Linked DNA regions of Macaca mulatta. The protein of the gene in region 5 interacts with the protein of the main gene of each other region in a pairwise test. Links are inferred from orthologs where the notes say so. Each region holds a gene or a part of one and is shown on either strand. Other genes may lie near its edges.

Evidence for each region.
Region 1: the proteins of CPSF7 (region 5) and CLK2 interact in binary tests that used the Homo sapiens proteins (3 or more experiments, as listed by UniProt). The link is inferred for Macaca mulatta from reciprocal best matches to the Homo sapiens genes CPSF7 and CLK2.
Region 2: the proteins of CPSF7 (region 5) and ATXN1 interact in binary tests that used the Homo sapiens proteins (3 or more experiments, as listed by UniProt). The link is inferred for Macaca mulatta from reciprocal best matches to the Homo sapiens genes CPSF7 and ATXN1.
Region 3: the proteins of CPSF7 (region 5) and SNRNP25 interact in binary tests that used the Homo sapiens proteins (3 or more experiments, as listed by UniProt). The two-hybrid records come from large-scale screens. The link is inferred for Macaca mulatta from reciprocal best matches to the Homo sapiens genes CPSF7 and SNRNP25.
Region 4: the proteins of CPSF7 (region 5) and NCK2 interact in binary tests that used the Homo sapiens proteins (3 or more experiments, as listed by UniProt). The two-hybrid records come from large-scale screens. The link is inferred for Macaca mulatta from reciprocal best matches to the Homo sapiens genes CPSF7 and NCK2.
Region 6: the proteins of CPSF7 (region 5) and RBM10 interact in binary tests that used the Homo sapiens proteins (3 or more experiments, as listed by UniProt). The two-hybrid records come from large-scale screens. The link is inferred for Macaca mulatta from reciprocal best matches to the Homo sapiens genes CPSF7 and RBM10.
Region 7: the proteins of CPSF7 (region 5) and ARMC7 interact in binary tests that used the Homo sapiens proteins (3 or more experiments, as listed by UniProt). The two-hybrid records come from large-scale screens. The link is inferred for Macaca mulatta from reciprocal best matches to the Homo sapiens genes CPSF7 and ARMC7.

What each region holds. Positions count from the first base shown.
Region 1 is NC_133406.1:111,713,784-111,718,083, forward strand, and holds the start of CLK2 (dual specificity protein kinase CLK2), read left to right. Parts: upstream 1-1,500; 5' UTR 1,501-1,804; intron 1,805-4,016; coding exon 4,017-4,186; exon of another isoform or gene 4,187-4,219; intron 4,220-4,300. UniProt on the Homo sapiens protein: Dual specificity kinase acting on both serine/threonine and tyrosine-containing substrates. Phosphorylates serine- and arginine-rich (SR) proteins of the spliceosomal complex.
Region 2 is NC_133409.1:166,497,879-166,502,033, forward strand, and holds the start of ATXN1 (ataxin-1), read left to right. Parts: upstream 1-1,355; 5' UTR 1,356-1,483; intron 1,484-4,155. UniProt on the Homo sapiens protein: Chromatin-binding factor that repress Notch signaling in the absence of Notch intracellular domain by acting as a CBF1 corepressor. Binds to the HEY promoter and might assist, along with NCOR2, RBPJ-mediated repression. Binds RNA in vitro.
Region 3 is NC_133425.1:1,245,364-1,249,386, forward strand, and holds the start of SNRNP25 (U11/U12 small nuclear ribonucleoprotein 25 kDa protein), read left to right. Parts: upstream 1-1,223; 5' UTR 1,224-1,286; coding exon 1,287-1,430; intron 1,431-2,775; coding exon 2,776-2,866; intron 2,867-3,093; coding exon 3,094-3,199; intron 3,200-3,838; coding exon 3,839-3,913; intron 3,914-4,023. Other genes in the region: POLR3K (DNA-directed RNA polymerase III subunit RPC10), read right to left, coding at 851-961.
Region 4 is NC_133418.1:13,841,967-13,846,072, forward strand, and holds the start of NCK2 (cytoplasmic protein NCK2), read left to right. Parts: upstream 1-1,306; 5' UTR 1,307-1,533; intron 1,534-4,106. UniProt on the Homo sapiens protein: Adapter protein which associates with tyrosine-phosphorylated growth factor receptors or their cellular substrates. Maintains low levels of EIF2S1 phosphorylation by promoting its dephosphorylation by PP1.
Region 5 is NC_133419.1:12,615,896-12,619,836, forward strand, and holds the start of CPSF7 (cleavage and polyadenylation specificity factor subunit 7), read left to right. Parts: upstream 1-1,141; 5' UTR 1,142-1,361; exon of another isoform or gene 1,362-1,563; intron 1,564-1,827; 5' UTR 1,828-1,882; coding exon 1,883-1,936; intron 1,937-3,941. Other genes in the region: SDHAF2 (succinate dehydrogenase assembly factor 2, mitochondrial), read right to left, coding at 776-970.
Region 6 is NC_133426.1:47,202,978-47,206,477, forward strand, and holds part of RBM10 (RNA-binding protein 10), read left to right. Parts: intron 1-1,060; coding exon 1,061-1,130; intron 1,131-2,933; coding exon 2,934-3,007; intron 3,008-3,500. UniProt on the Homo sapiens protein: Binds to ssRNA containing the consensus sequence 5'-AGGUAA-3'. May be involved in post-transcriptional processing, most probably in mRNA splicing. Binds to RNA homopolymers, with a preference for poly(G) and poly(U) and little for poly(A).
Region 7 is NC_133421.1:84,791,292-84,795,431, forward strand, and holds the start of ARMC7 (armadillo repeat-containing protein 7), read left to right. Parts: upstream 1-1,340; 5' UTR 1,341-1,413; coding exon 1,414-1,504; intron 1,505-1,587; coding exon 1,588-1,731; coding exon of another isoform or gene 1,732-1,763; exon of another isoform or gene 1,764-2,135; intron 2,136-2,436; exon of another isoform or gene 2,437-2,470; intron 2,471-4,140. UniProt on the Homo sapiens protein: As a component of the minor spliceosome, involved in the splicing of U12-type introns in pre-mRNAs.

The DNA.
Region 1 (4,300 bases), on a different chromosome or scaffold from region 5:
GCTGGAGTGCAGTGGCACCGTCTCGGCTCACTGCAACCTCCGCCTCCCGGATTCAAGCGATTCTCGTGCCTCAGCCTCCAGAATAGCTGGTATTACAGGGACCCGCCATTGCACCTGGCTAATTTTTGTATTTTTAGTAGAGACGGGGTTTCACCATGTTGGCCAGGCTGGTCTTGAACTCCTGTGCTCAAGTGATTCACCTGCCTGGGCCTCCAAAAGTGTTGGGGTTACAAGCATGAGCCACCACACTTGGCCTAATTTTTGTATTTTTTGTAGAGTCTGGGTTTCGCCCTGTTGTCCTGGCTGGTCTCGAACTCCTGTGCTCAATTGATCCACCCACCTTGGCCTCCCAAAGTGTTGGTATTAGTATTACAGGCGTGAGCCACCTCACCCAGCCTTCCTGTTCTTTTTTAAGATTTAGTAAACTGGCCAGGCACGGTGCCTGATGCTTGTAATCCCAGCACTTTGGGAGGCCGACGGGGGGAGGATTGCTTGAGCTCAAGGGTTCAAGACCAGCCTGGGTAACAAAGTGAGGCACTATCTCTACAAGAAAAAAAAAAGCTGGGCGTGGTGATGCGCGCCTGTAGTAAACATATGTGTGTGTACATATATATGTTTTGTTTTGTTTGAGACAGAGTCTCGCTCTGTCACCCAGGATGGAGTGCAATGGCATTATCTTGGCTCACTGCAACCTCCGCCTCCCGGGTTCAAGCGATTCTCCTGCCTCAGCCTCCTGAGTAGCTGGGATTACAAGCGCATGCCACCACGCCCGGCTGATTTTTGTATTTTTAGTAGAGATGGGGTTTCACCATGTTGATCAGGCTAATCTCGAACTTCTGACCTCGTGATCCGCCGGCCTCGGCTTCCCAAAGTGTTGGAATTACAGACTTGAGCCCCCGCGCCCAGCCCTAGTAAACTTATATTTCTCACACATTATGTAAGCCACTTTAGGATACAGTTCTCAAGTGAGTCCCCTTTTTCGGCACCCGATTCTCTAACCCTCCATTGCTCAAACCTTTCCCCCATGGCTGTGACCCCACCCCGAGTCGTGCATAACTTTTGCTGATGACAAAAGGTGGCAGACTTTTGTTCTGGGGATAGGTAGGTGATGTGTTTTAAGAAATGGTTATTTTCAGGCTATGCAGAAGAATGAGACTTCACCATCAAGCCTCACTAGAGTCGGGCTTGCAGAGCAGCGACACTGTATTGATAATGACAATCCTTTCTTTTAAACTCCAAACCTAACTAAGCCACACGTCTCCATGCAAAGGGTAAAAGATTGAAGAGGGAGTGGGAAAGGACAGGAGGCGGGGCATAGCGGGCCTGGAAGGCTTCCAGCTTGTCCCTGTGGACCCTCCTCGCCCCTATGAACTTCCGCCCCCAGTACCTCCGAGGCTCTGACAGGCTGACGCCTGCCAGCTACGTGAGCACGTGGTGGCGCGCGCGGTCCTGGGGGCGGTGCCCAGGGGGTAGCTGGGAAGCGACGCAAGACGTGAGTCCGTGCGTGCGTGCTCGCTCACGGCGGCGGCGGCGGAGCGGAGAGGCCAGAGCCGGAGACCGAGCTGGGATCGGGCCCCGGGCGGGGGCGGTGCGAGCGGCGCCAAGCAGATCTTAGGGGCGGGGACGGAGCCGGGGCGGGAGGGACTGAAGCGGAGCCCGGGAACGGGGCGGGAGGTCCCAGGGTCCCGGGTTGGGGGTGTGGAGCAGCACTTCGTCGCCGCGGGGGTGCCGGGACTCCGGCCGCAGTGCCGCCGCCATCACGGACTTCCTGTGGGACAAGCGCACGGGCCTCGCCGCCAGAACGGTGAGCGCGCGGGTTGGCTGACCGCGGGGCCGCGCGAAAAGATGGCGACCGCGGGGCGGGCGGGGTTAGGCTTGGATTGGGGGCAAGGGACGGGGGCGAGATTTGGAGAGGAGGAGAGTTGAGACCTACGAAGCGGCGAAGTAGGGAGATGAGGGGAAAGGAGGTCGGCCTGCATTAGATGTACTGAGAAGACCTGTAGGAAACTTGGGCGGAGCCAGACTAGAAGGGGTGATAGAGTAAGGATGGGAGTGGTTCCAGAGATGTGAAGGAGTGGAATATCAAAGTTGGACTCAGGGGTCCAATCAAAGCTGGAGGGGAGGAATACATCACCGCGTCACTTGGAGCATGCAGGAAGAATTTGCCTGTAGGAGTTCTGGATTTTCTGAGTAAGAAAGGAAAAAGCAAAAGATTTCAAACTTTAGAAAGGTAGACTAGTGATGCTTTGAGGGGAAAGTGCTGTGAGGCCGTTTGATGGTAGTATGTGGTGAGATGGCATTTATGTGGCTATGCTGATTCGGATGGCTGTGCTGGGAAAATCTTGTGCTTGCATCTTGGTATGCTCCCGGCCGCAGTTACACCAAGAATGCATCAAATACCACCCTCCTCAATTTGGGGAGGTTGGAAAGAAGTAATACAGAATGGTGGTCAGACGTTGGAATCGTTAAACCTTTTGCATACCCGATTCTCATGCACTACCACCAAGACTTCTGTCCCTGGGCCTGTTTCATTTTATTCTGCCTTCTTATTCTCATCTTCCTGGATTGTGACAGTGATTTTTTTCTTTTTTCCTTAAAGGAAAAAAAGGATTTGTGAACCATCCCATTCCAATTCCATTAACTGGAAGGTGGCCAGCTGTCAGCTAAGTAGGGCTGATATTAATAAAAAACCACTTACTGGCCAGGCGCGGTGGCTCACATCTGTAATCCCAGCACACTGGGAGGCCAAGGCGGGCGGATCACCTGAGATTGGGAGTTCGAGACCAGCCTGACCAATATGGAGAAACCCTGTCTCTACTAAAAAATACAAAATTAGCCGGGCATGGTGGCGTATGCCTGTAATCCCAGCTACTCGGAAGGCTGAGGCAGGAGAATCGCTTGAACCCGGCAGGCGGAGGTTGCGGTGAGCCGAGATTGCGCCATTGCACTCCAGCCTGAGCAACAAGAGCAAAACTCCGTTTCAAAAAAACACACACACACACACACAAAACAGTTATTCTCTACATCTCAAGCACAAGAGTGGAGGGGCTAGATGGGATGCTGACTGTATTTTGTGGCCTACTACATTAAAACCTCTCAAGGTAGAGTTGGCCAAAGATGTGAGAGATGATTAAATTAATTCAAAGGGCCCGACCCAGATCCTTGGAACTGATAGTATTTGGCGTTTACCTGGTATATGTAGAAACCTGGGAGACTGGATTCCTACCCTCAGGACACTGATAGTCTACTTGGGGAGATAAGACGTAGTCTTAGTGAGTGTACGACATGTATCATAACTGTAAACCAAAGCTTTATTGACTTGTGAGGAACTCAGCATCGCACAGATCTATATCTTAGATCCTGACCGGGGATACACTGTGGCAGTCTCTATCTTCGTCATACACTTCCCGTTGTAATTAACTCTGTCCTAGACCTGAAAGTCTTCATGGAGCTGTGTGTGAAGAAAATAAGGATAGAACACTTGAACTGGCTGGGTGCGGTGGCTCACGCCTGTAATCCCAGCACTTTGGGAGGCTGAGGTCGGGAGTTTGAGACCATCCTGGCCAACATGGTGAAACCCCGTCTCTACTGAAAATTTAAAAATTAGCCAGGAGTGGTGGCATGTGCCTGTAATCCCAGCTACACAGGAAGCTGAGGCAGGAGAATCGCTTGAACCCGGGAGTGGAGGTTGCAGTGAGCTGAGATTGTGCCACTGCACTCTAGCCTGGCCGCACAGGAAGACTCCGTCTCAAGAAAAAAATAACACTTGAACTGAGTGGAGGGTAATGAGGGATGGGTTTGGGGGCTTTCTAGAGTTTCAGCCAGAGTTAGTAGGTGGCTATACTCCAATAAGGAGGAATTGTAAGTACAGAGGAAGACTGAGGAAGTTGTTCGTGGTAAAAAGAGGCAGAAATAAAAGAGGGGAAAGCAGCTTAGCATCTTTTGAGCAGCCAGTCCTTGGAGGAGACTTCTGAAAACTCGGAACTTTCCTATTTCCACTTTCCTTTCCCTTCCAGATGCCTCATCCTCGAAGGTACCATTCCTCAGAGCGAGGCAGCCGGGGGAGTTACCGTGAACACTATCGAAGCCGAAAGCATAAGCGACGAAGAAGTCGCTCCTGGTCAAGTAGTAGTGACCGGACTCGACGGCGCCGGCGAGAGGACAGCTACCATGTCCGTTCTCGAAGGTGAGGCCTCAGGAAGAGATACTCAAATACAGGGTCACTCACTCATTATTTGTTCAACAAATACTAGTTATATGCTAAAACTGTTGCATTAAGTAGTTGGCTGAAGGTAGTGTC
Region 2 (4,155 bases), on a different chromosome or scaffold from region 5:
ATTTTAGGTTTCTGCTTAGTGTTTTGGCATCTGGATTTGGGATTACTTAGCATTTTTAATTTACGAAAATAACCATCAACTTACACTCAATTGAAATATGAACATGTTGGTTTTAGTTGAGCTTGGGAATTAAAATCAAAGTACAGTCAAATCCAAAACAAATAATAGTAATTTTAAGACTTAGGTGACATAACCCTCTGGGGAAAATGAGGTGATATTGATGTGATGCTTTTTTTTTTTTTTTTAAGACAGAGTTTTGTTCTGTCACCAGGCTGGAGTGCAGTGGTGTGATCTCAGCTCACTGCAAACTCTGCCTCCCGGTTCTAGTGATTCTCCTGCCTCAGCCTCCCCAGTAGCTGGGATTACAGGTGTGCACCTCCATGCCTGGCTAAGTTTTGTATTTTTAGTAGAGATGGGATTTCACCATGTTGGCCAGGATGGTCTCGATCTCCTGACCTCGTGATCCACCCACCTCAGCCTCCCAAAGTGCTGGGATTACAGGCGTCAGCCACCACGCCCCGCCCCGACATGTTTTAATACTAACTACAGAAGTGTTGATAGCAATATCAGCTTTGAAGCGATGGTATAGTACTAGAATCCTAAGCATGACCTCTGTAAATGGTTGGCTTAAGTGCTGGCTTTAACATCTGTTGGCTGTATTTACTCTCAGTTTTCTTGTCAATAATGCAGAGGTAATCATGATTCCTGGCTACCTCACAGACTGCAATGGAGTGGGGCAATGTGTGTAAAACCCTCAGTCCAGGGCCCAGAACATAGTAAATGTTTAATCAATGTTCGTGATGACCTTGGCCATCGCTGATACCATGTCTTAACTGAGTTATTAACAAAGAGGCATGTGTAGTTTCAAAAGTGAAAGTCAGGCCAGAATGGTAAATACATGCACTGAATTTGCATAATTGTGTGGCTAGAAGGAGTCTTAGAGAAAGAGAGCATCAAATTCAGCATTGTTTCTGACATTTTCTGTGAAGAACTGACTGCTTTTTATTTCTTAGAAATCTTAGAATCATTAAGCAGAGAGGGAGGGGCAGGAACAGGATTATTTTGATAGTGGTGTCCCTAAGGTGAGGAGATGGGGTGGGAAGCAACCCCTGGCCAGAACCCACTCATCTCTGGGGATAGGAACCTGCTGTGTCTCTGCCTGCTGAGTTTTTGACATTGTGATTTAAAAATCTTGTGTGTGTGTGTGTGTGTGTGTGTGCACGCTTGTGTGTGTGCATGTGTGTATGAGAGAGATTATGCAATATGATGTTTCCCGTTTCTGTGACATCAGCAAATGTGAATGAAGACCACAGAAGCTGCCTAACTCAGTGGGAATATTGTTTTTATAATTACAGGTCTAGGCATTTTACATTGAGATTCTCCACTGCCACCCTTTCTACTCAAGCAAAATCTTCGTGAAGAGATCCGCCGCAAGGAACTGATAGCTTATGCTTCTCCATTGTGATGAAAGCACATGGTACAGGTAAACGTCTCCAAAATCTTTAAAGGAAAATAATTATCACTGAGTTGTAAAGTCCCCAAGATAGTCCCCAAGATACATATCTGGTTACATATCTGGTTACACAAACATACACACAGAACATAAATATGTATCTATTCACGTAGACTCCATTTCTCCCTACTGTCTCTTTTATAAAAATGAAACCCTTGCTTTTTTGTGGGAAAGGAAGTAACTTCTACTTATTTTGAGGTCACTGGTTAGGATAGATGACGAGGCGTTGCTGATAATTCTGAAGGCAGTGTTTATAAATTCACCTGGAGAGACGAACATCAAATGGTAGTAGAGATTGTAGAAGTAGTAGAGATTATTAAGAGTCTTGTTCCTCCTAACAATGTAATTCTGAACATCTTTCATAGCAACAGATATTTTTCTACAGTATAATTATTAATGATTGTATAGTATACCATTGAGTAAATATTCTAAAATTTATTTAATTTATATCCCTTCTAACTGGACAGTTAGTCGTTTCTAATTTTTTGCCTTTTTATTTTCTTGAGATAGGGTCTCACTCTGTCACCCAGGCTGGAGTGCAGTGGCATGATTTTGGCTTTCTGCAACCTCTGCCTCCAGGGCTCAAGTCACCCTCCCACCTCAGCCTCCCAAGTATTAATAGCTGGGATTACAGGTGCATGCCACCACACCTGGCTAACTTTTGTATTTTTTTTTTTATAGTGAAGGGGCTTTGCCATGTTGCCCAGGCTGGTCTCAAATTCGTGACCTCAAGCAGTCCTCCCACTTCAGCCTCCCAAAGTGCTGGGATTACAGGTGTGAGCCACCATGCCCAGCCATTTTATTGCCTTAATGGTGCCAAAAATATTCTTATAGCTCTGTGTTAGTTCCCATTGCAAATTATTTCCTTAGGCTAATTTCTTAGCAGCACACTGGTAAATGTAAGAGTTTTCAAGTTTTATGGCTTTTGGTAACTTGTTCCCAAATTACTTTCCAGTAAAGTCATACCAGTTTGTATTTCCAGAGGCAGTTTATGAGAGTGTCTACTTAATACAATTTTCCAATGCTGGGAATTTGGAAAACAAAAGGAGTTTTTGCTGACTGATTATGCAAAATGGTGTTTCCATGTATTTTGGGTTTTGGGGTGGGGGGGTCATTTGTAAGTAAATTGTACTGTTTTGTAGAACCTTCCTCCATTAGACAGTAGCATCTTTGAAACTTACCAGATTTCGACATTTCAGAAATAATATTAAATCCAGAAGTAGTGGAAGGGTCCTAGGGAATTTTAAGTTCTTCCTTTCTGGCCAAGTATTTTTAGACAACTATGAAATCACTAGATAGCAATCATTTTTCAGTGGAAAGCATAATGTTTCATTTCTTAAAAAGAGTGAAAAGGTATTTAATAAAAAATCTTTATTAGACATGTATCTGAAGTTATACTGCTCATTAGTTTAAAAATATGTATGTGCCTATATATGTATGTGTGTATGTATGTGTGTGTGTGTGTGTGTATATATATATATGTCCAATATCGGGAGCATGATTAAATATAACTATGTTAGTGCCATATGATAGAAAAGCTGTAGCTCACAGTAGATAAGACTGCAAGCTTCAGGCTGCCTGGGCTCAAATTCCAACTCTGCTGTTTTTTTGAAGTGTGACATTGGACAAGTCACTTTGCATGTAAAATTCAGATAATAATAGTACCCTTCTCCCTTGGGTGTTGCTGCAAATAATATATATGAAATGTTTAAAATCGTTAAAGCTCCTATTTCAGGAGTATTTAATCATTTTAATATAGAAGTAAACAAATGTAAGGTATTGGCATAAACCACAGTATAATCCTAATCTTGCAAAATTACTTTGCTTCTTTTTCCTCCCTCTTTTCATCCTCCTCTAGTATCTAAAAAAGGGTTTAGCATACTTCTGAATGGCTTTAATTTGTATTAGTGGAGTAATCCCAGTCCTGGAGAGGCTGCCTGATTGAAGTCTTCAAGTCAGAGACTCATTTTTCACAGAGCTTTGAAACCATAGCTGTCTGGATCACCTGGCTGGGGGAACCCTTGGAGCAGCCGTTGGTTAAGAGCAGAGCTTCCTTCCCACCCGGGGCTGCCTAGCTCCTGTGGTACAGCAAGTGCCTTGGGCACAGAGAGAGTCCCTCACCGTCTGGCACCATATGTGAGCTGCCCTAGTTGGCTCATCTCTTTCCGTCATTACTAAATAAGCTTCATTTCACTAAATAAATGAAAGAGAAGGTAGATGAAGAGACCCCCACACCCAGCTCTTAGGAAATGCATGCTTTATGCTACAGATGAACGAAGGGGAGGGCTGTAGGGTTGTGAATCTCTTGACCCTTTGGCTCCATCATAACGCTGAAAAGTGAAAGGAAAAGCAGTCAAAGAATCATTTAGCATGAAGGAGACAAACGCAGAATGACTTGTGTGTCTTCAGCCTCTGCCTTTCACTGGTTACCCTGCAATGAGCTTATGTATGTAGAGGCTGCATTCGTTTTGGCCCTAATTTCTGGTCTAATTTGAACAGCTCTGTATTTCTCAGCAGAAGAGGAATATCTGAATTCCTAATTAAGACATGTTAGCTTAAGAATACCTCCTTAATGTGTCATAAATCATTCCCCTGTAAGTGACTATGAGGATGAATAAGAAAACAAAACTTGGATTTATACA
Region 3 (4,023 bases), on a different chromosome or scaffold from region 5:
TAGCTGGGATTACAGGCGCCTGCCACCATGCCCGGCTAATTTTTGTATTTTTAGTAGAGATGGGGTTTCATCATGTCAGTCAGGCTGGTCTCGAACTCCTAACCTCAAGTGATACACCCGCCTCGGCCTCCGAAAGTGCTGAGATTAGAGGCGTGAGCCACGGCGCCCGGCCAGGTCCTACTATTAATAAACAAAGCACACGATACATTACGTAATGTATTCGAAGGTAACAAGCCCTGTGGAAACAATTACAAAGGGAAGGAGGATACATTGGACGGAGGGGCTGCAATTTAAAATACGGTAAAGACAAGACCAATGAGTAAGGTGGCTATCTAGGGGAAGAGCGAAGTTAGTAACAGTAAGTGCAAAGGCCCTGCGAGCGCCATGTGCACCATGAGAGATCGTCCAGGAGGCTGGTGTTGATGGGGCAAAGGGCAATAGGACTTGAAATCGGAGAAGCAAGTCGGGGAGGGGGTCAGTGTCTGAACATGGTAGGCCCTGGAAGAATTCCGGCTTTTCGTCTGCACGAGCTGGGGAACGGCCGAAGGTTTCTGCGCACAGCACGGACCTACGTGCCTCAGCTTTAAGGGAATCGCCGTGGCCGCTGCTGTGAACGCAGAGGAGGGCGCAAGCGTGGGAGCAGGAACCCAAGGAGGCGGGAAACGGTGGGGCTTTCTGAGTGTGCTGGAGCCCACAGAAAGAGCCCACAGATCTGCTGCAGACCGGAAGGGGGAGCGAGAAAGAGCGGACAGAGGCAGACGCCGGGGCTGGCGGCGATGGCGCCGCAGTCGGAGGAAGGGGAAGGCCTGCGAGAGGCGCCCGCGGCCCAGCGCCGGCCTTCGGGTCCCACCTTGCGGGTGATGTTGTGCACGTAGGGGCACGTGTTGCAGGCGAAGCGGTGGCAGCGTTGTCCCTCCTCCACGATCAGCCCGTTCCCGCAGCCGGGGCAGAATAGCAGCATGGTCTCGAACCCCGCAGGCGCCAACCACCGGCAGCTCACACTGCCGCTCAGCGCCGACGCGCGGCCCGCCTCGAGCTTACATTGGTCCTGGCGGCCGCCTCGCCCCGCCCACCAACCAATAGACAGGGCGATTCTGCGCTCCCAGCCCTGCTGCTGGCTGTCTCGCACTTGTCATTGGTCACTGCAGCCGCCCCACCCCTCGGCGCACCAATGGCTGGGCGGCCTCGCTGGGACCGGCCGCAGTTCCTGCGCGTGCGCGCTTGGCCTCCCTAGTGCGTATGGAAGTGCCGGCAGAGACCGGCTGAGAGGTGCGGCCCTGGAGGAGATGGAGGCCGCGGGTGGGTCCGAGGCGCAAGAGGAAGATGAGGACGAAGAAGAGGCGCTGCCGCACTCCGAGGCCATGGACGTGTTCCAGGAGGGTCTGGCTATGGTGGTGCAGGACCCGCTGCTCTGCGATCTGCCGATCCAGGTGTGTGCTGGCGGGGGCCAGCGGGGCGGGAGTCGTTCCCCGGGGGCCGGGCGTCCGGGCGCGCGCAGCCTCTGAAGGTGCTGGTGGGAGGCTGCGGCCCAAGGCTGAGGAAGGCGCCTCTGGGCGTAAACAAGGGTCTTTACCTTGGCCAGGCACACTCGCCTGCGGCGCGAAGTTTAAAGAGGAACCAAAAACCTCATTAGTGAGTGACATTAAATGAAATTTTAATGTAATTGTATTTAGGGGGCTGGGGGGACAGGGTCTTGCTCTGTCGCCCAGGCTGGAGTGCAGTGGCGCGATCTTGGCTCACTGCAGCCTGCACCTCCTGAGCTCAAGCCATCCTCCCACCTCAGCCTCCAGAGTAATTGGGACCACAGATGCGCGCCACCACACCCGGCTAATTTTTAAATTTTTTGTACAGAGGGAGTCCCACTATGTTGCCCAGGCTGGTGTCAAACTCCTGGGCTCAGGCGATTCTCCTACCTCAGCCTCCCAAAAAGCTGGGATTATAGGTGTGAGCCACCCACTCGGCCTGTAATAGCTTTAAAAGTCAAAGGTGATGAAAAAAAAAAAAAAAACCCTACGATAAACGAAAAAACTTAGTTCCATTTGCCTCAAGCGTCAATATGCTTTGGCACGATACTTTTTATTTATTTGAGACTGAGTCTTGATTTGTCGCCAGGCTGGAGTGTAGTGGTGCGATCTTGGGTCACTGCAACCTCCCACTCCCGGGTTCACTACAGGAACGCGGCACAACGCCCGGCTAATTTTTTGTATTTTAGTGGAGACGGGGTTTCACCATGTTGGCCAGGATGGTCTCGATCTCCTGATCTAGTGATCCGCTGGCCTCGGCCTCCCAAGTGCTGGGATTACAGGCGTGAACCACCACACCCGGCCAGTTTTAAATGTTTTATATTTTGCTCATCATGGATATTTTAATTGCCTTGTATTTCTTAAATGTTGTATTAAAATATTTGTTATTACCGTTTTTTGTGTACACCTGCCTTACTCAGTCCTGGGCCCTGGCCTGGGTCCTGATGATCAGGGATACTCAGGGTGAACTGACAGGCCCCCACCCACCCCTGGGGACGGATCCTCATGTGCGTTTATTCTCTTGCCTGTTTTTTAACACCTCTTTCCCCCAGAGACTCTGTCCACTTTGGACATTAAAATGTGAGTGGAACATGAGATTGGGGCTCTGATGAATTGGGAAACCCTAACATATATGCAAGTACCCTTCCTTGCCCTTCGTAAAATGGAGCACCACTTTTTGGCCACTGTCAGCTTGTTCTTTGTTGTTGTAAAGACAGCCAGGGTTCCCACTTCTGCCCTTGGTCTTTTCTAGGTTACTTTGGAAGAAGTCAACTCCCAAATAGCCCTAGAATACGGCCAGGCAATGACGGTCCGAGTGTGCAAGATGGATGGAGAAGTAATGCGTAAGTGTGCCCTCCTCCCTTCAGGTTATGTGGTCCAGGCTTTCACAGCAGCAAAATGTAACAGTGCTGGTCAGCCTGCTCCGCAACTCACAGGCCATGCCCAGGGGTACTGGGGCAACCACAAACCTGCCCTGTGCACAGAGCTTCCGGGTTCCTTTCCTGCCATCGGAGGCTATGGCTTTGGGTTCTCACTGTGGATCTTCTCCCATCTGTGTCCGTGGTTGCAGCTGTGGTGGTAGTGCAGAGTGCCACCGTCCTGGACCTGAAGAAGGCCATCCAGAGATACGTGCAGCTCAAGCAGGAGCGTGAAGGGGGCATTCAGCACATCAGCTGGTAAGTGGAACGACAATCCCTTCATTATAGCCCTTCCTGGGGCTAGTGCTGTTCTTGGCACTGTCACCAGGCACCACCTGGAAACAGCTCTCAACTCTGCATGAGTACAGCACCACTGAAGTGATGAGCTCCCCGTCACAAGAGTTCAGACAGTGCAGGTCCTTCTGTGCCTGGGACTCCTGCCTCGGCCATCCCTAACATACTGCTTTCATCGCCATCACCCCATCCAAGCTGCTGGATATCCTCACTTGGGGACCCCGTCGGGCATTTCCAGTGTGTGTGGAAGTGGCCTCCCTAGTTATGGATGGTACACCTGTAGTGGCTACCATCCCCTTCTCACCTGGGTGCTGGCAGCCCTCGCTCTCCTATTGGATCAACTGTCCTGTTCACTGAGTCTCAACACTGTCACCTATTGCATTAGCAAGGTGTGTTTGTCCAAGCCGCCCCATACAGGCCTCTGAGAACAGAGCCTCCGTGCAGCCGCCTCAGAGCCAATTTGCACATTGTACAGAACAGCCCAGGTAGGGAGGACAGCTGCCCCAGGTCCCATAGGGCTGAATGCCTCAAGCCCACGCCATGCACAGCCACTCAGCTCACCATGCTCAGAGCGTGTGGTTTACCTGCGTTCCCCTCTTGCAGGTCTTATGTGTGGAGGACGTACCATCTGACCTCTGCCGGAGAGAAACTCACAGAAGATAAAAAGAAGCTCCGAGAGTAAGTGCCGGCCACATCTTGAGCTGTAGGGGACAGCTGTTCTGTTGACCCCTAGTCCCCCGTGCTCTGCCAGAGGGCTGCGGCTCACTCTCTGGAGGTAACACCCTCCT
Region 4 (4,106 bases), on a different chromosome or scaffold from region 5:
CCAGAGTCCTTCACATAGGAGGTAGGTAAATATTATCTCCCCATTTGACAGATGTTAGAAAGGCTAAGACCACCTGTGCAAGGTTACACAGTTCAGGAAGTCAACAAACACTCACCTGTCTGACTTCAAAGCTACACTGACTCTAGTTACCTGTCCTTGGGTACTTCCTTTCTGGAAGGAAGCAGATGACTGAATCAAATAATACTGCCTTGTAACCTTGGATAAATTATTATTGTCTTAATAGTAAGCAGAGACCAGCAGCCTAAGAAAGAATCTCATTAACATGGATGCAGGCTATCCTGCCAGGAAATCAGAATCATTTGAATATTAGGATTTCCTTTGGGAAACCATATGGGGAGGAGAAAAGACATCCGGATGCATGTGTCTGTGAAAGGGAAACTTGCGTCTTTCCCCTTGCTTTTGGGTTTTAATCTTCCAAGTTTGTTTATAGGCTAGCCACAACTTGAGGCTGGGTGAGCTGAACAGTCCCATCATTAGCGACACTCCTTCTAGGGGCACATTCGGGCAGCTCCTCTTCGGATCCTGTCCCCATGGGTGTGCAACCAGGATTCCACTGGCTGGGGCTGGCCTGGATGCCTGGGAGGCAACAGAGGTCGAGTTTCTTCTCCCTTTAGGAAGTGCCTCAGACAGGGATGATGGACTAAAAACGTGTCTGGTTGGGAAAGTAAATAGATGCAAGACAAATAAATAAAAATGCCCACAAGCAATTACAAGGAGGAAGTGACATTTTTATTTAAGTCACTTTTCTGATGGACACCAGGCCTGCTTAGCTGAGTGCCGTGGGAATGCTTCCGGGAGGGGGGCGGCTGCCCAGCAACTACAGCTTCGCGATAAGGACATCAAACAAACAAACAAGAGGACGCAAAGCCCACCCGGCAGGCATCCCAGGCTGGAAGTTGCAGCCTATGTTTTCACTCTCCTCCCCACCCACCCAGCCTGCCCCCCACCGCCCGCGCGCAATTTCGGGCGTGGGGACCCTTTCCTGTCCCCGGCGCCGGGCCAGTGCTGCGCCTCCAGAGCGGAGCGTCCCGCAGCCCCGCGCTATACCCGCGCCCGTACCGAGACCCGGGCGCGGAGCCTGGCGGCGCCGGGGGGCGCCCCAGGTGGGTCTCGGGTCCCCGCCCCGCCCCGCGTGCCCGGGCCTGGGCCGGCCCCTGGGCGGCGTCACGGCGCTGCCGGGGAGGAGCGCGGGAGGAGGAGGAAGAGCGCGGAGGAGGCGGGCGCTGCGCGCCGGGGGAGGGTCGCCGCCGCCGCCGCCGCCGCCGCCGCCGCCGCGGGGATCGTCAGGCCGGAGCCGCGCGGCCGAGCGGACGGCGGGCGGAGGGGAGGGCTCGGCTGCGGGGAGGCTCGCGGCGCCCGGGCCGGCGGGGTCCGCCCGGGCCGGCAGCGTCCGCCCGGCGGCGGGAGGAGGGAGCGGCGCAGACAAAGAGCGGCGCCTGGGCGGGCGCAGCGCGGCCGCCGCCCCGGGACCCGCGCCGCTGCCCTCCGGCTCCGCGGGCGGCCCACAGCGAGGTAAGCACGGCCAGGCGGGCGCGGGGAGGGGGCCACAAACTTGGGGTCGTTGGGCGGAGTTGGGAGCGCGGCGGGGCTCGTGGGCCGGGGTGCGCCCGGGAAGGGGCTGCGAGAGCGGGTCGCCTCCGCGCCCCACCGGTACTCTCGGCCCCGCCGCGGCCTGGGCGCCCCCGACTGTGGGCTGCCGGGCATCTCCCGGCTCGGCACCTTCCTGCCCGCCTTCCCATCCCCAACCCCCACCATCGCGGCCCGGCGCAGAGGCGGGGACGCCAGCCAAGGGCGCGGGCGGGGATCAGGGCAGGGGGCCCGGCGGCGGGGCCCGGGGACTGGAGACCCCCGGGTGCGCAGGCTGCGCCTGGCCTGCGGGCGGGCGGCTGGCACGGAGCTCGGGGCTAGCGTGGGACCGTGCGGTGGCCAGGGTCGCCAGGGCGCGTGTGCCGGGGAAGAATAGCCGCGGATCGCAGGGCCCCGGCGCAGGGACCGGGGAGGCCGCGATCGGCCGGGAGAACTTAACTGTGTTTATTACAACTATTTATGATCGCGCACAAAGCTGCTGTCACATCGCATAAAGGAGGTCTTCGCTTCGGCGAAGGGAGCTTTTGTGCCCGGCTTCAGGCTCTGCGCCCTGCCCCAGATTTACAGGACTCTTACAGCCACCTGAACCAAAGTTTCTCACAACCGCTCGGCCCTCTCGGTGTTTTTCAGGGCGATTTAATCACCCAGTGGTTTTGGAAAAATTTGATGTGTGAGTTTTAAGGCATGGACGGTAACTCCCTTATGAGCACAGTTAGCTTGGCATTGTGGGGAGGGGTTTAATTTGCAAAACGCTGTAATTTGTAGACAATAAGGATCTCTGTGAAGGTCTGCGCTGGATGCTAGGGGTCATTGGCTGGTGGACCCCAGGCACCTGACTTAAACTAGTTTTGTAGCAGCTTCAGGGACAAAGCCGAGCGGGCGTGGAGTCGTGTAGTCGGCCTTGGTCACTTCTCACAATTCAGGTTGGCAGATTCCTCTTTATTTGGCTTTGTTTATTTTGCCAACAGGTTTAAGGCCGCTTCTGCCAAGTTTGCATATGCATAATGGGATGAGCAGGCCCCAGTGTGGGCAGGAGGGGGCCTAAAATATCGCATGGGCCAGCTCCATCCCTCGACCCAGAAAGAAACCACCCTGAGAGGCCGGTGGGCGTGGCTTGGTGGGACCCACAGGTAGGGGAGTCCCTTCCTGGCCCAGGCCCAGTCCCCGCTTCTCGGAAGGGATTTTGTGTAGTAATGAAAGTGATTCAGGGTGTTTTTCATGCCTCTGTTTTAGATGTAGTTATCAAGTCTCAAAAGTGACGGAAAATGAAATTAACCTGGGCTGCTTTACCTTACCGAAACGGAACTGTGCTTGTGAACACTCCCTCAATTCACTTTCCAAGCTTCATAGATAAGCAGGTGAATTAGTAACAGGATTCAAGCCTATGCGAGTTTTATGTAAAGAGAATGGCGGTCATCGGACACGTGGAGAAGAAATTGACTTCACCTGGAGATTGGGCTAGACATGGAAGTTTTTTGATGTTTGGAACAGGGATTTCCTGAGAAGCAAGTGTTAACCTTGCTTGTGAAGAAGTGAACACAAGGGAAAATCCTACCTCAGTATATTCTCCCCTGGAGGTTGGTTAGATGTAGTTTTGATTGGAGAAGGTGGCGGAATCTTAGTGGTCTTCTGGTGGCTACTTGAGGCTGAAATGGAGAACTTTAGGCATAGGAAGCTGTGGAGGTGCCTGGCCCACTTCCTGTCCGGGAGGCCTCTCCTGGATTCTGAGCTTCTTTCCTGCTTCATAAACATTCAGGGGGATTGATCATGAAACACTGGATGAAATTGGGTCACAAATTACCATCAGGAAGAGTTGGCTGCTGCATAAGCCCCTCTGTCCACTTGTGGAGAAACTGACCCTGTTAACCGTGGGGCTCGCTGAAGGTGCCTTGCAGGTGGCTGTGCTCAGTTTTCAGGCTTTGTGTTTTGCTTAGGACGCGCTGCATACTTAAATCTTCTTCATCCCTGCTCTCTTTGACCCTGACATATTCCCAGGCTCTGTCATTTACATTTTGGGTTATTTAGCTTTTCCAACAAACAGCAGATCTTATGTACACAGTACTATATTTGAGAAATGCACTATCATCCATTTTAAATACACCGGAAATCTTCCTTGCATGTGCACAGACTGGATAACCTTTTAAAATACCCTAAGACTCCGCGAATGGCGCAGAATGTACTGGAGTCCTTTACTTGATCAGTTGAGCTAGCTTAATTTGCCCTGGCTAGAGCAGGCTGTGCTGCTCTATGGGACACCCATTTTTCTAACTGCTCGGACTGGCTTGCCATGTGCACTGGGGGAGACAAGGCTTGTGGAATTCATTCTCTGACATTAAAAATGAGGCTTAATGACAAGAGCCCAAAATTGCTTCCCGGAACTGCAGGGGAGGATGATGAGCGATGTTTGGGAAAACTGTTTTCACAAGTGAACTGGAAACTCCCCACAACTGACTTCAGAGGCTTAGGAAATTAGTTTTCCCATCCAGAGGGATGGCAAG
Region 5 (3,941 bases):
TTTGAGACCAGCCTGAGCAACATAGTGAGACCCTGTCTCTCCAAAAAAAAAAAAAAAAAAGAAAAAAGAAGGAAAACAACAAAAAACAAACAAAAAGGAAACATCCTGAGACAAACTACAACCCAACATATACAAAATTGTGAGATGCCACAAAAGCAGTACTAAGAAGGAAGTTTATAGTGTAAACACCTACATCAAAACAGAATAAAGATCAAGTCCCTGGGTCTATAGGAAAAAAAAAAAAAAAAAAAAAAAAAAGAACAAAGACAAGGATGGGGGTAGGAGGGGAAGATAGAGACAAAGTTCGTTACTTTGTAAGAGCAGGATAGGAAAAAAGAATAAGTTCCAGTGCTCTATTACATATTAGAGTGACTACAGCTAGTAACACTGTACTGTGTATGTCAAGATGGCTAGAAAAAGATCTTGAAAAGTTATCACCACAAAGAAATGATAGAGATTTGCGGTGATGGACATGCTAACTACGCTGATTTGATTATACAATGTACACACGTATTAAAACATTACACTGTACTCCCATAAACACGTTCAATTATTATATGTCCGTTATAAACAAAACAAAGAGCTCAAGATACTATGTGAAACCACGAAAGGCATTAACGACTAAAGAACGCGGAGAAGGGGCGTCCAGAGGAAGTTGGGCTAACCCCACCTGCGACGTAGGTGAGAGGTGAATTGAGTCTTGGACGATGACTTATCGTTTAAGCAGTTATTTCCAGACCGGCACACAGTAGGCTCACCAAAGAATGGAAGCGACCTTTATTTCCTGAGCTGCAGAATCGGCCTCTCCCTGGGCCTGCCCTTGCCCTAGGCTATCGGGCAGACGAACGCTCCCCAAGATAGAGACCACAGAAGAAGACAAAGTGTAATCCGCGCTGCCGCCCGCCCCGGACGCTAGAACGTTCTCTCTCCTCACCCGCGATGAAATCGAGAACACTGTGGACACCGCCATTTTCCCCACCTGCACCGGAAACCGGCTGCCCGGGCACTTCCGGGAACTCCTAGCCTCACGGCCAGCCGACTACGGCAGCCACGGAGGACCTGAAGCGGAAGGTGCGTCCTTGCGTATGCCGGAAGTGGCGGTGCGTGTGACGCCGGCGGCGGGGGGGGCGGGACCTGGGGCGGAGAGCGGTTCGCGCGCTTCGGGCCTAGTCCGGACTCGCCGCTGCCGCCGCCATATTCCCGGTAACGGGGGCGCGCGGCCGGGGGCAGGTTGGGCCGGAAGAGGGGTCCGGGCCGGCGCTGAGGCGGGGAGGGGGTCGGTTGAGATGGGACGGCCGGAGTCTGCGGGCGGAGGGAGGCGCGGGCCTTTGAGGGAGGGGGCAGAGAGAGCGCCGGGCCGGGTGTGTGGGGAGGGAGCGGGGCGGGCCTAGCTGGGGGCGAAGAGTAGGCCTGGGTGGGGAGCAGAGGCGGCTGGAGTAGCTTGACACCCGGGGGCCCTGGCCGGAGCTGCTTTGGGGCCTAGGCAGGTGCGACGGACAGGGGATGCGGGCTTCGCCGCGGTCTTTCTTCGCAACGCGGTCCTAGGGCCCCTAGGAGCCGAAGGTGGGACTTTTCCGTCGCGCCATAGGCAGCTGCGGCGCCGACGCGGCGCTACCCGGGTCGGGCCCGAGGGTGATGGGCAGCGACCCCCGGCGGCCTGGGAGAGCGGGGGGCGGCGCGAGGCCGGGGGCGGGGCGGAGCGGGTGGGGCCGAGCTCGGGCCGCTAGGATGCTGCGTCTCTGGAGATGGGAGGTTAGCAACCATTGCCCTCCTCCCAGGCCAGGACCCTCATGCCTTCTAATTCTTGCATTTTTCCGAATCCCGCAGTGGCATCTTCCTTACTTTGTCCATCCTCCGGGCTCGCGATCTTCCTTCCGGAGCCATGTCAGAAGGAGTGGACTTGATTGATATATATGCTGATGAGGAGTTCAACCAGGTGAGGGGTCATCAGGAGCTTTGGGATTTTCCTTGATCATCTGAGGAATCATTTTCAGCAAACTGGCAGTGGTTTCAAGCTGTACCAGTTCTAGGCTTGAACACGCGTCTATCCGGTCTAAAATTTTTCCCCTGCAGAAACTTTAAAGACTACACTCCGTTCCTCTTTGTGTTAATTTGAAGCTCCAGGCTTAATTTTAAAGGCTTTGATTTAAGAGCAAATAAAAAACAAGTGTAATAGAATGGTGAATCAACCTGTAGAATTTACTCCCCAGGAAGCCAAAGTTGGATATCAGACTAACCACACTTAAAAATCAAAAGTACATTTGCTACAGTATTCATGAGGACAGTGTTGATACCTGTTCCTTTACATTCTCAGCCTGCAGCTGGAGAAGTATAGTCCCCTCCACCGAAACAGTGCAAAGACAAAGTAGAAAAGATAACTTTAACATTTAGTTTCAACTCCATTCCAATTAAGTTTTACTTGCTTTTATAAGTAGTTTGGCCCGGGCGCGGTGGCTCAAGCCTGTAATCCCAGCACTTTGGGAGGCCGAGATGGGCGGATCATGAGGTCAGGAGATCGAGACCATCCTGGCTAATACGGTGAAACCCCGTCTCTACTAAAAAATACAAAAAACTAGCCGGGCGAAGTGGCGGGTGCCTGTAGTCCCAGCTACTCGGGAGGCTGAGGCAGGAGAATGGCGTGAACCCGAGAGGAGGAGCTTGCAGTGAGCTGAGATCCGGCCACTGCACTCCAGCCTGGGTGACAGAGCGAGACTCCGTCTCAAAAAAAAAATAAGTAGTTTGACTCCAGTCATGAGAAGTCCACAGGCATTTTGGTATAATAAATTGTATTGATTAACTTTAGTCTTTCTAGAGGGAATAAAAGGGTAAAGACGTTAGACACACCATTTAGATGACAGATATAGACTCATGCACAGACCCTCAGTTGGATTTGTTTTTATTGTACCAGGGAACATTATACAGAAATTTATCTAGAGCTGGGCACGGTGACTCTTGACTGTAATCTCAGCTGCTCCAGAGGTTGAGATGGGAAGATTGCTTAAGGCCAGGAGTTCAATACCAGCCAAGGCAACATAACAAGATGCAGTCTCTACAAAAATGTAAAAAAAAAAAAAAAACACAACCAGATGTGGTGGCTTGTGCCTGTAGTCCCATCTGCTCTGGAGAGTGAGGCAAGAGGTACTCCCTGAGCCCAGGAGTGCAAGGCTGCAGTGAGCCATGATTGGGCTGCTGCACGCTATCCTGGGCAACAGAGCAAGATCCTCCTGACTCTTAAAAACACAAGAAAAATTCTCTCAAAGGAATAATCTTCCATGCAGTTCAGTTTTTCCGTCTTGAGGTCAGTTCTCAAGAATGTTCCAAAGTTTCTACTGAAAACTTACTAATACGTTGCCTGGGTTATTTTCAGCACCATTCTACATAAGTTAAGCTGGCTCTTCCCATTTGCATCTTCCAGTGGGTACACATAAGGACCTGGTAAGAGCGAGTAATGAATGGGCTAGAAAAGGAATGTTCCCTGGTTGGACCCTGACTTTGATAGAAGGCAACAGAAGAGGCGGATACATGCCATTTATTTTTCACTTGGCATAAGTTTACATTAAAGTCTATTTTTTGATGCATTATGGATTTGTAACGTGGAAATTATAAACCATACACAAAAGTAGAATAATATATTGTACCCATTATACAGCTTCACCAATTATACATTTTAATGACAGGTTTCTTGTCTCTGCTCTGGCTAACTATGGTCCTTTAAATATAGCTGCTGGTTGTCTTAAATACATGAATTTTCCTCTTTTTTTTTTTTCTTTTTTCTTGAGACGGAGTCTTTCTGTCACCCAGGCTGGAGTGCAATGGCGCGATCTCGGCTTACTGCAACCTCTGCCTCCCAGGTTCAAGCGATTCTCCTGCCTCAGCCTCCTGAGTAGCTGGGACTACAGGCGTGGGCCACCACGCCTGGCTAATTTTTGTATTTTTGATCG
Region 6 (3,500 bases), on a different chromosome or scaffold from region 5:
AGACAGTAGCTGGTTGCTGACATTTGTTGAGAATGTATCTCAGGATGGGCCATGTGTTAGGTGTGATTCAGTCCCCATGGCATCCCAACAGGGAAGGTACTGAGTGGGAATGTGACTTGCCTGAGGTCTTACAGCCAGTGAATGGTGGAGTGGAGCTGGAGTCTGAACCCAGGCAGCTGGACCCCAGAGCGCACTTTTTGCTGCTTCCTCAGCCTTCCCTGAGTTTGGAGTCCTGATAAGCTCTTCTGTGTGTTTTTCCTTTTCATCCTGTGTATGGGTGTGTGTAAGTCTAATCTCCTGTCTTGTTTAACCTGGTGGGGAAACTGAGGCCCAGAGACATGAAGACTCCTTCCCAAGAATGGTTGGCATAGGCTCCTGGTCCTCTGTGAGAGACCTCACTGGCCTAGAGACCCTGCCTCACCTGTTCCAAATCCTGAATTGCCTCTGCAGTCTCGCTCTGGCCTACTCCATCCAGGAAGCAATCCCCAGGACTATATCTTTTTGCTTTTTGTCTCCACCCTAAGTTATTGCTGCAGTCATGGTCTAGGGTACATGGCTGGGATTTGCTCAGACTCCTGTCCTCCCCAGTTTGGCATTTATGTCATGGATCTCTTTTGACGCAAGCTGCAGGTCAGCGGGGCAGGGGCGGGGGCGTGGGTTATCCCCTTGCCAAGGGCAAGAATTACTTCCCAGGTTTCCTTACTTCGTGGCTGCCACTGAGCCCTTTGTCAGATCACCCTGCCCACCGTTCTTAAATGGCTGGCTCACTTGCTTTCTTGTTCTCTGTGTCCCTGAGGGTCGTCCTGCTGCCATGCTTTACCTTGCTCTGTGCCCATTTCTTCATTTGATTCACTTTCTGCAAGTCTGGGGCTGAAAGTCAAGACTGTGAACTGGTGTGGGCCTGGGGCTGTTGTCACTCAGGGAAAAGCTGCGAAAGAGGCAGAGGAGACTGTGTGCACATCACGGATGACCCCTTGGGATCCAGAGGCCTCCAGCCAGCCTCAGGTACCCAGTGGCCCCATTGTGCTGAGCCTGCCCCACTCTGTATCTCCCCATATAGATCCGTGGCCAGCTGCAGTCCCACGGCGTGCAAGCACGGGAGGTTCGGCTGATGCGGAACAAATCTTCAGGTGAGCTTTTGTTCCCAGTGCCCTCCCCTTCCAGTGGCCAGCCTCAGCCTCGGAATCTCCCTCCTACCTCTGCCTTCTCCCCGACTCCCTCCACCACCTTCCTGCCACAGCTGGGAATGGGCAGTGTGGGGGGTGCCCTCTCTTCTCTCCCCTTCCCCACACTCTCCTCACAGCTCCAGCCAAAAGCCTCTTCAATGGGGCTGTCGGGGCAGGGGTGCAGCTCTGAGCTGAGCTGGGTGCTCCCCGGGGTCACGGCCAGGGCCAGGCTCCCAGGCATCTCCTCTCTGGGACTCTTGAGTATCTGAGATGGTAACCCCCTCCCATACACTCCCTTCCCTCTCCTTTCTTCTTCCTCTGCCCCTCACTTTCCCCTACATTTTTTGGTAACAGCCTCTGACCAGAAAGTAGCTCTGACGTGGTGGTCCCACGTGTGTGTCCCAAGGGGGAAGCAGGGGATGGCTCTTATCCAAGGACACATCCCAAGGAACAGCCAGGACTTCCTGGCCTCGCCTGTTCCCTCCCTCCCTCTTGCAGGCTGCTTGGAGCTGGCCTGAGGTTAGCAGGGTGGTGGTGGGGGGAGTTGTCTCTACAGGACCTCTGCCCAGGCTCCCCAAGGCAGGCACAGTGGGGCCTCACTCTGCCTGGGCTTCTCTCTCCATCTCTCAGTCTCTCCTCCCCACACCTCCATCTCTCTCTTTCTCTCTCTCTCTCCCTTTCTCCCTCTCTCTCTTTCTCTCTCTGCCCCCCCCCCACTTATATTATTCATTCCATCCTCCTATGCATCCTAACGGTTATTCTTTTGAACATTAAGCATGCCCCCCCCCCAAGCCCCTCTCATCCAAGCCCTCCCCGTGTATCTGCCTCTAAAGGACATGCTATCCTGAGGCCTCAACCCTGAATCCCTTTCCTAAGCCTGGAGTCTTGGTTGCATGTAGGTCTTGCTCTGCATCACCCCAACTACACCACACATGGACAGCTTCTGGGTCTCTCTCTCCCCAAGGTGTTACAGGTGCAGACCCCTCGATGGCCCTGGGCGCTTCTCCCAGGCACCCATTGATTCTTACCTCTAAGGTCCTCCTGGCCAGTCCTGGCCACCATTCTCCTTTTGTCCAGGGGAACCTGGACTGTTTGTGGCTGTAGTCTCCACCCTGTGGCCCTGAGGTGGCTCCCTAGCGAGGCCCGCCTCCCCTGCGCTGCGGTGAGGCTGAGATGAGGTCGTGTCTTTAACCGCCCCTGGTTCTCAATGGGCCAAGAGCCTTCCTAGCCTCACAGAGCAGCCTGGCCCAGCTTCTCTTTTGCTCCTGTGATTCAACACCTGTTACAGGACCCCTCCTGGGTGCCCCTGGCCTCGAGCCGGGTCCGCCCTGGAGTTACGTATTGTGGCTTGTGTGGAGCCAGCAGCCTGCCCACCGTCCCCTACCTCCTTCTCTGGAGGCAGATCTCTCGTATTCTTTCCCTCCCGGCTGCTTCTCTCCGTCTCTGTCACCCCAGGCTGGCTCGGCAGGTCTGCCCGAGCCCTATCTCTTTCTCTCTTCCCAGTTGGTGTGTGTGTCTCTCCCACTACCGACCTCTGGTCTCTGTTTTTCTCCCTCCGCCTTCCCTGCCCCACCTGGCCATCTACCTTGCCCCCCACACCTGCTAGTCTCTCTCTCTCTGATTGCCTCTTTCTCTTTCTTCCTTTCTCCTCTTCCCCTTTCCCTCTCTCTGCCCCCGTCCTCTCCCCTCGGGTCCCGCCCCCGGGAACGCCGTGTGTCCAAAGCTGTTGACTAACCCACTGCGTCTGTATCTGAATGCTGTCTCCAGGTCAGAGCCGGGGCTTCGCCTTCGTCGAGTTTAGTCACTTGCAGGACGCTACACGATGGATGGAAGCCAATCAGGTTGCTTTGCCGCACTTGAACCCCCCCCCAAACAAATACTACTTTGTAATCGAGCGCTCCCCATCGCCTGATTCTTATGGACACAGTTCCCTGCCCTGTGGCCCTGTGTCCCATTCCCCCTGCCCCCTCTCTTCCCTTCCTGACCCTCACTATCTCCTCTTCCCATCTCTCGCTACCCCACTGGGCTTCCCATCCAGAGCCCACACTCACCACTGGCCCCTTCCTACCACCAGGCACTAGCGCTGCCCCTTCACCTCTCCCAGCTGACCGTTCAGAGAAACAGCTGCCAGGGTGGGTTCTTTCACCTAGCTTCCCACTCCCCCCGGGCGGGGGTGGGGGTGGGGCACCCCTCTCTGGGGTTAGCCAGAGCCAGGACCTCATTCTACCCTCAGGACCACTGGAAGTCCTGCCAGTGAGGAGCTTAGCTATTGGCACAGTCACTAGCAAGACTCATTTTGTCAGCCCCCTCCCTGCATGTGAATTTGGCCCTTTG
Region 7 (4,140 bases), on a different chromosome or scaffold from region 5:
TCATTATCAGATATTTATGCATGAGAACCCTCTTGTCATGGTTTTCTCCGACTCTGTCCGGGTTTTTTTGTTCTGTTTTTTTAACACAAGTGACTCCAATTAGATTAACAACTTTTGCATTCTCAGGACACTCACAGCCTAAGCCACCTCTCTACCCCTACGTTGTCAAACGCGATGGGAGTGTAGTAAGGCCACCTCCTTCCCTGGTGCTTTGTTCCCTGTAACCACGAGTAGTAATCCATCACACACCTGCTTCCCGAGAATCCTCGAGAAGGAATCGGCCGAAGGGCTTCAGCATCCAGAAAGCCCCGAAAGCGCCACAAACAAGGCTCTTCCTCCGGCTCCCCGGTGCTGCCCCGGGCGCGCGCCATCCACCCGGCTGACAAAAAGCACCAGGACATGACCCCGTCCCCTTTGATTTCTGTCCAGAGGTGGCGGACTCACCTCGGGGCTGGGATAGAGGACGGGTCGGGGTCGCTACGCTTTTTGCAAAAGGGTCAAAAGACTGATGGGGGTGGGTAAGGAGCTGACGCCCGCGCTCTAAAGGGGCGCCCCGCCAGCCATGGGGATCCTGGAGGTGCTTCTGCCTCGACGTCCTCCCAACATGGGTGCTGCCAGACTCCGTTGCGCTCCTGAGTTGCTCCTCACGTCATTCCAGCCGCCCGACATGGGTGCCTCACTTTCGGCTTCTGGGCCACGTCGGGGCGGCGGAGGACCCGGGGGGCCGGGCGGGAGAGTGGGAAAGGTGGGGCGGGAAAGCCGAGAGAGGCCCTCACCCGCCTTCCTGTTGGCGGGGGCGGCAAGTGGGTTTCTTTCTTGCGTTCAGATTTTGCAATAATTTGCAGCTGGACATAGGATATGGGAGACAAGGCTGCTCCTCGCAGTACACCCACCCACGCCCATACCTCCCTCGGCGAAGCGTGTCGCAGCGGGTTCCAGCGCAGGCTAAAGAGCTTCCGCAGCCAGAAAACCGAAAGCGCGCCGCGCACGCGCGCCAAGGAGTTCGGCGACGGCCCCGCCCTTCGCCTGCCTCGTCCCGCCCCTTCCGCGCCTTGTAGGGTGGGGACAGCGCGGCTTCCGCCGGGAGCCTGGAACCGAGCCCGGCAGCCGGGGGCTGGGCGCCAGTACCCACTCCGCCAGCCCCAGCCCGCAGACGGTTCCCTGTCTCCCGCGCCCCAATTTCGATTTTCAGACCCAACTCCTACAGGATTCTGAGACCCCGGCCCATCTCCCCACATTCCATTTCCAGCTGCAAATTACTGCAGAGTCTGAACCCAAGAAAGAAACCCGTTTGCCGTCCCCGCGTCTTCCCTCGCCAGACAGGTGGAGAGTGGGTGAGGGTCTCGCTCGGCTTTCCCCCTGCACCTTTCCCACCCGCCCGCCCGTCCCTGGGGGTCCTCCGTCACGCCGGCCATGGCCCAGAAGCCGAAGTTGGACCCCCACGTCGGGCGTTTGGGATACCTGCAGGCGCTGGTCACGGAATTCCAGGAGACCCAGAGCCAAGGTGAGAGCCACGGTGGGACCAGGTGACAGGGTCGGCTGTGACCGCCGCCCGGACCTGGCTCCAGTGCCGCTTTCCCGTTGCAGACGCCAAGGAGCAAGTCCTCGCCAACCTCGCCAACTTCGCTTATGACCCCAGCAACTACGAGTATCTGCGGCAGCTGCAGGTCCTGGATTTATTTCTCGATTCGCTGTCGGAGGAGAACGAGACCCTGGTGGAGTTTGCTATTGGTAAGGGCTGGGCCCGTTCGCTAGATGGCTAAATGGGCCGGGGTGAGGTAAGTGAGTTACAAGTGAGTCCTTGGGGCCTGGCGTGGTGGCTCACACATGTAATCCCAGCACTTTGGGAAGCCGAGGCGGGGGGATCACCTGAGGTCAGGAGTTCGAGACCAGCCTGGCCAACATGGCAAAACCTCGTCTCTACTAAAAGTACAAAAATTAGCTGGGCATGGTGGCGAGTGCCTGTAATCCCAGCTAAGCGGGAGCAAAAATTAGCCGCACACAGTGGTGTGCACCTGTAGGCCCAGCTACTCTGGAGGCCGAAGCAGGAGGATTGCTTGAGTCCGGGAGGCAGAGGCCAAAGTGAGCTGAGACTGCGCCACTGCACTCCAGCCTGGGCGACGGAGTGAGACCATGTCTCAAAAAAAGATGTTTTAAAAAGAGCAGTTTTGTAGCCAGGCGCGGTGGCACACGCCTGTAATCCCAGCACTTTGGGAGCCCGAGGCAGGCGGATCACCTGAGATCAGGAGTTCGAGACCAGTCTGGCCAACATGATGAAACCCCGTCTCTAACTAAAAATACAAAAATTAGCCGGGCGTGGCGGGCGCCTGTAATCCCAGCTACTCGGGAGGCTGAGGCAGGAGAATCACTTGAACCCGGTAGGCAGAGGTTGCTGTGAGCCGAGATGGCGCCACTGCACCCCAGCCTGGGCAACAGCGAGACTCCGTCTCAAAAAAAAAAACAACAACAATTTCAGGTGGGTGAGGTGGCTCACACCTGTAATGTCAGCACTTTGGGCGGCCGAAGCAGGCAGATCACTTGAGTCCCGGAGTTCAAGACCGGCCTGGCAAAAGCCCATCTCTGCTAAAAAAAAAAAAAAAAAAAAAAAAATTAGTCTGGCGTGGTGTCCCAGCTACTCAGGAGGCTGAGGTGGGAGGATTGCTTGAGCCTGGAGGACGAGGCTGCAGTGAGCTGGGATTGGGCCACTGTACTCCAGCCTGGGTGACAGAACGAGAATCTGTCTTAGAAACAAAAGTAACTCATATTTAGTGTTTTCATATCAGGAGAAGCAGAGATGGCTTGCAGTCTGTAACTTACGGCTTCTTTTGTAGTTATGATCTTAAGACCTATTGATTTATTCACTGGGCAGATATTTACTGGGCATGTACCGTATATGTAAACTACTGCTCTAAATGCTGGAGTATGGTGAACAAGTTAGGGGAAGTGTTTGCCCCTCAGGAGCTTACATTCTAGTAGGGGGGACAGGTGGTTAGCAAACAAAAAAGATGATGCTCAGCAGCAAATAAATGGGGTGATGAGAAACAGCAGTAGAAGGTGGTGGTTACTTCTGTTTTGGCCATCATGAGAAAGGCATTTTAGCAGGGACACAGCATGGGCAAAGGCCTTAAAACAGGAAGGAGCCAGAAGGAAGATGAATGTGGCAGGATCGTTATAGTGAAGTGGAGAATGGCACAAAAAGAGGATAGAGAGTTAAGCAGCACCAGAGCTTGCCGGAGCTTAGATCTAGGCCGTGGGAAATAGTTTGAAGCAGACAAAATTTTGAGAACAAACAAAAATCCCTTTTTCAAGCCATGCACAGTGCTCATCTGTAGCCCCAGATAGGAGGATCGCTTGAGCCCAGGAGTTTGAGGCTGTAGTGTGCTACGATTGCATGATTGCACCTGTAAATAGCCACCGCACTCCAGCCTGGGCAACACGCGCGTGATCACCTGGCTGAAGTCTTGTCAGGCTTCTCCACTGTAAAATTACTCTTTCTTTCCCCTCTTTACGTATTATGTATTATACCCATTGGAAGGAAGTCACTACATAAATTATCTTAAATCTTTTTCTTTTTTTTGAGATAGGGTCTCACTGTGTCACTTAGGCTGGAGTACAGTGGTGTGATCATAGTTCACCATAAATTTAAACTTCTGGGCTCTAGCAGTCTTCCTGCCTTAGCCTCCCGAGTAGCTGTGACTACAGGTGGACACCACCATGCCCGGCTTTTTTTTGTTTTTAATTTGTTTTCGAGAGGATCTCACTGTGTTGCCCAGACTGGTCTCGAACTCGGCTTTTTTTTTTTTTTTTTTTAATTTGTTGTCGACACACGGTCTCACCGTCTTGCCCAGACTGGTCTTGAACTCCTGGCCCCAAGAGATAAATCGCTTGTAACCCTAAACAGACCCTCATTTCATAACACTGATTCTTGAAGGCCCCAACCAGGAATGCAAATGTTCCCCCTTCCGGTTTGTCTCATTGCCTCTTTGTGGTTTGTTTCTTTATCCCCTTTATTTCCTATAATCTAGAAATTGGGTTGAAAGTCTTGATAGGATCAAGTAACACATTTTATTTTATTTTATTTTATTTATTTATTTATTTATTTATTTTTTGAGACGGAGTTCGCTCTGTCGCCCAGGCTGG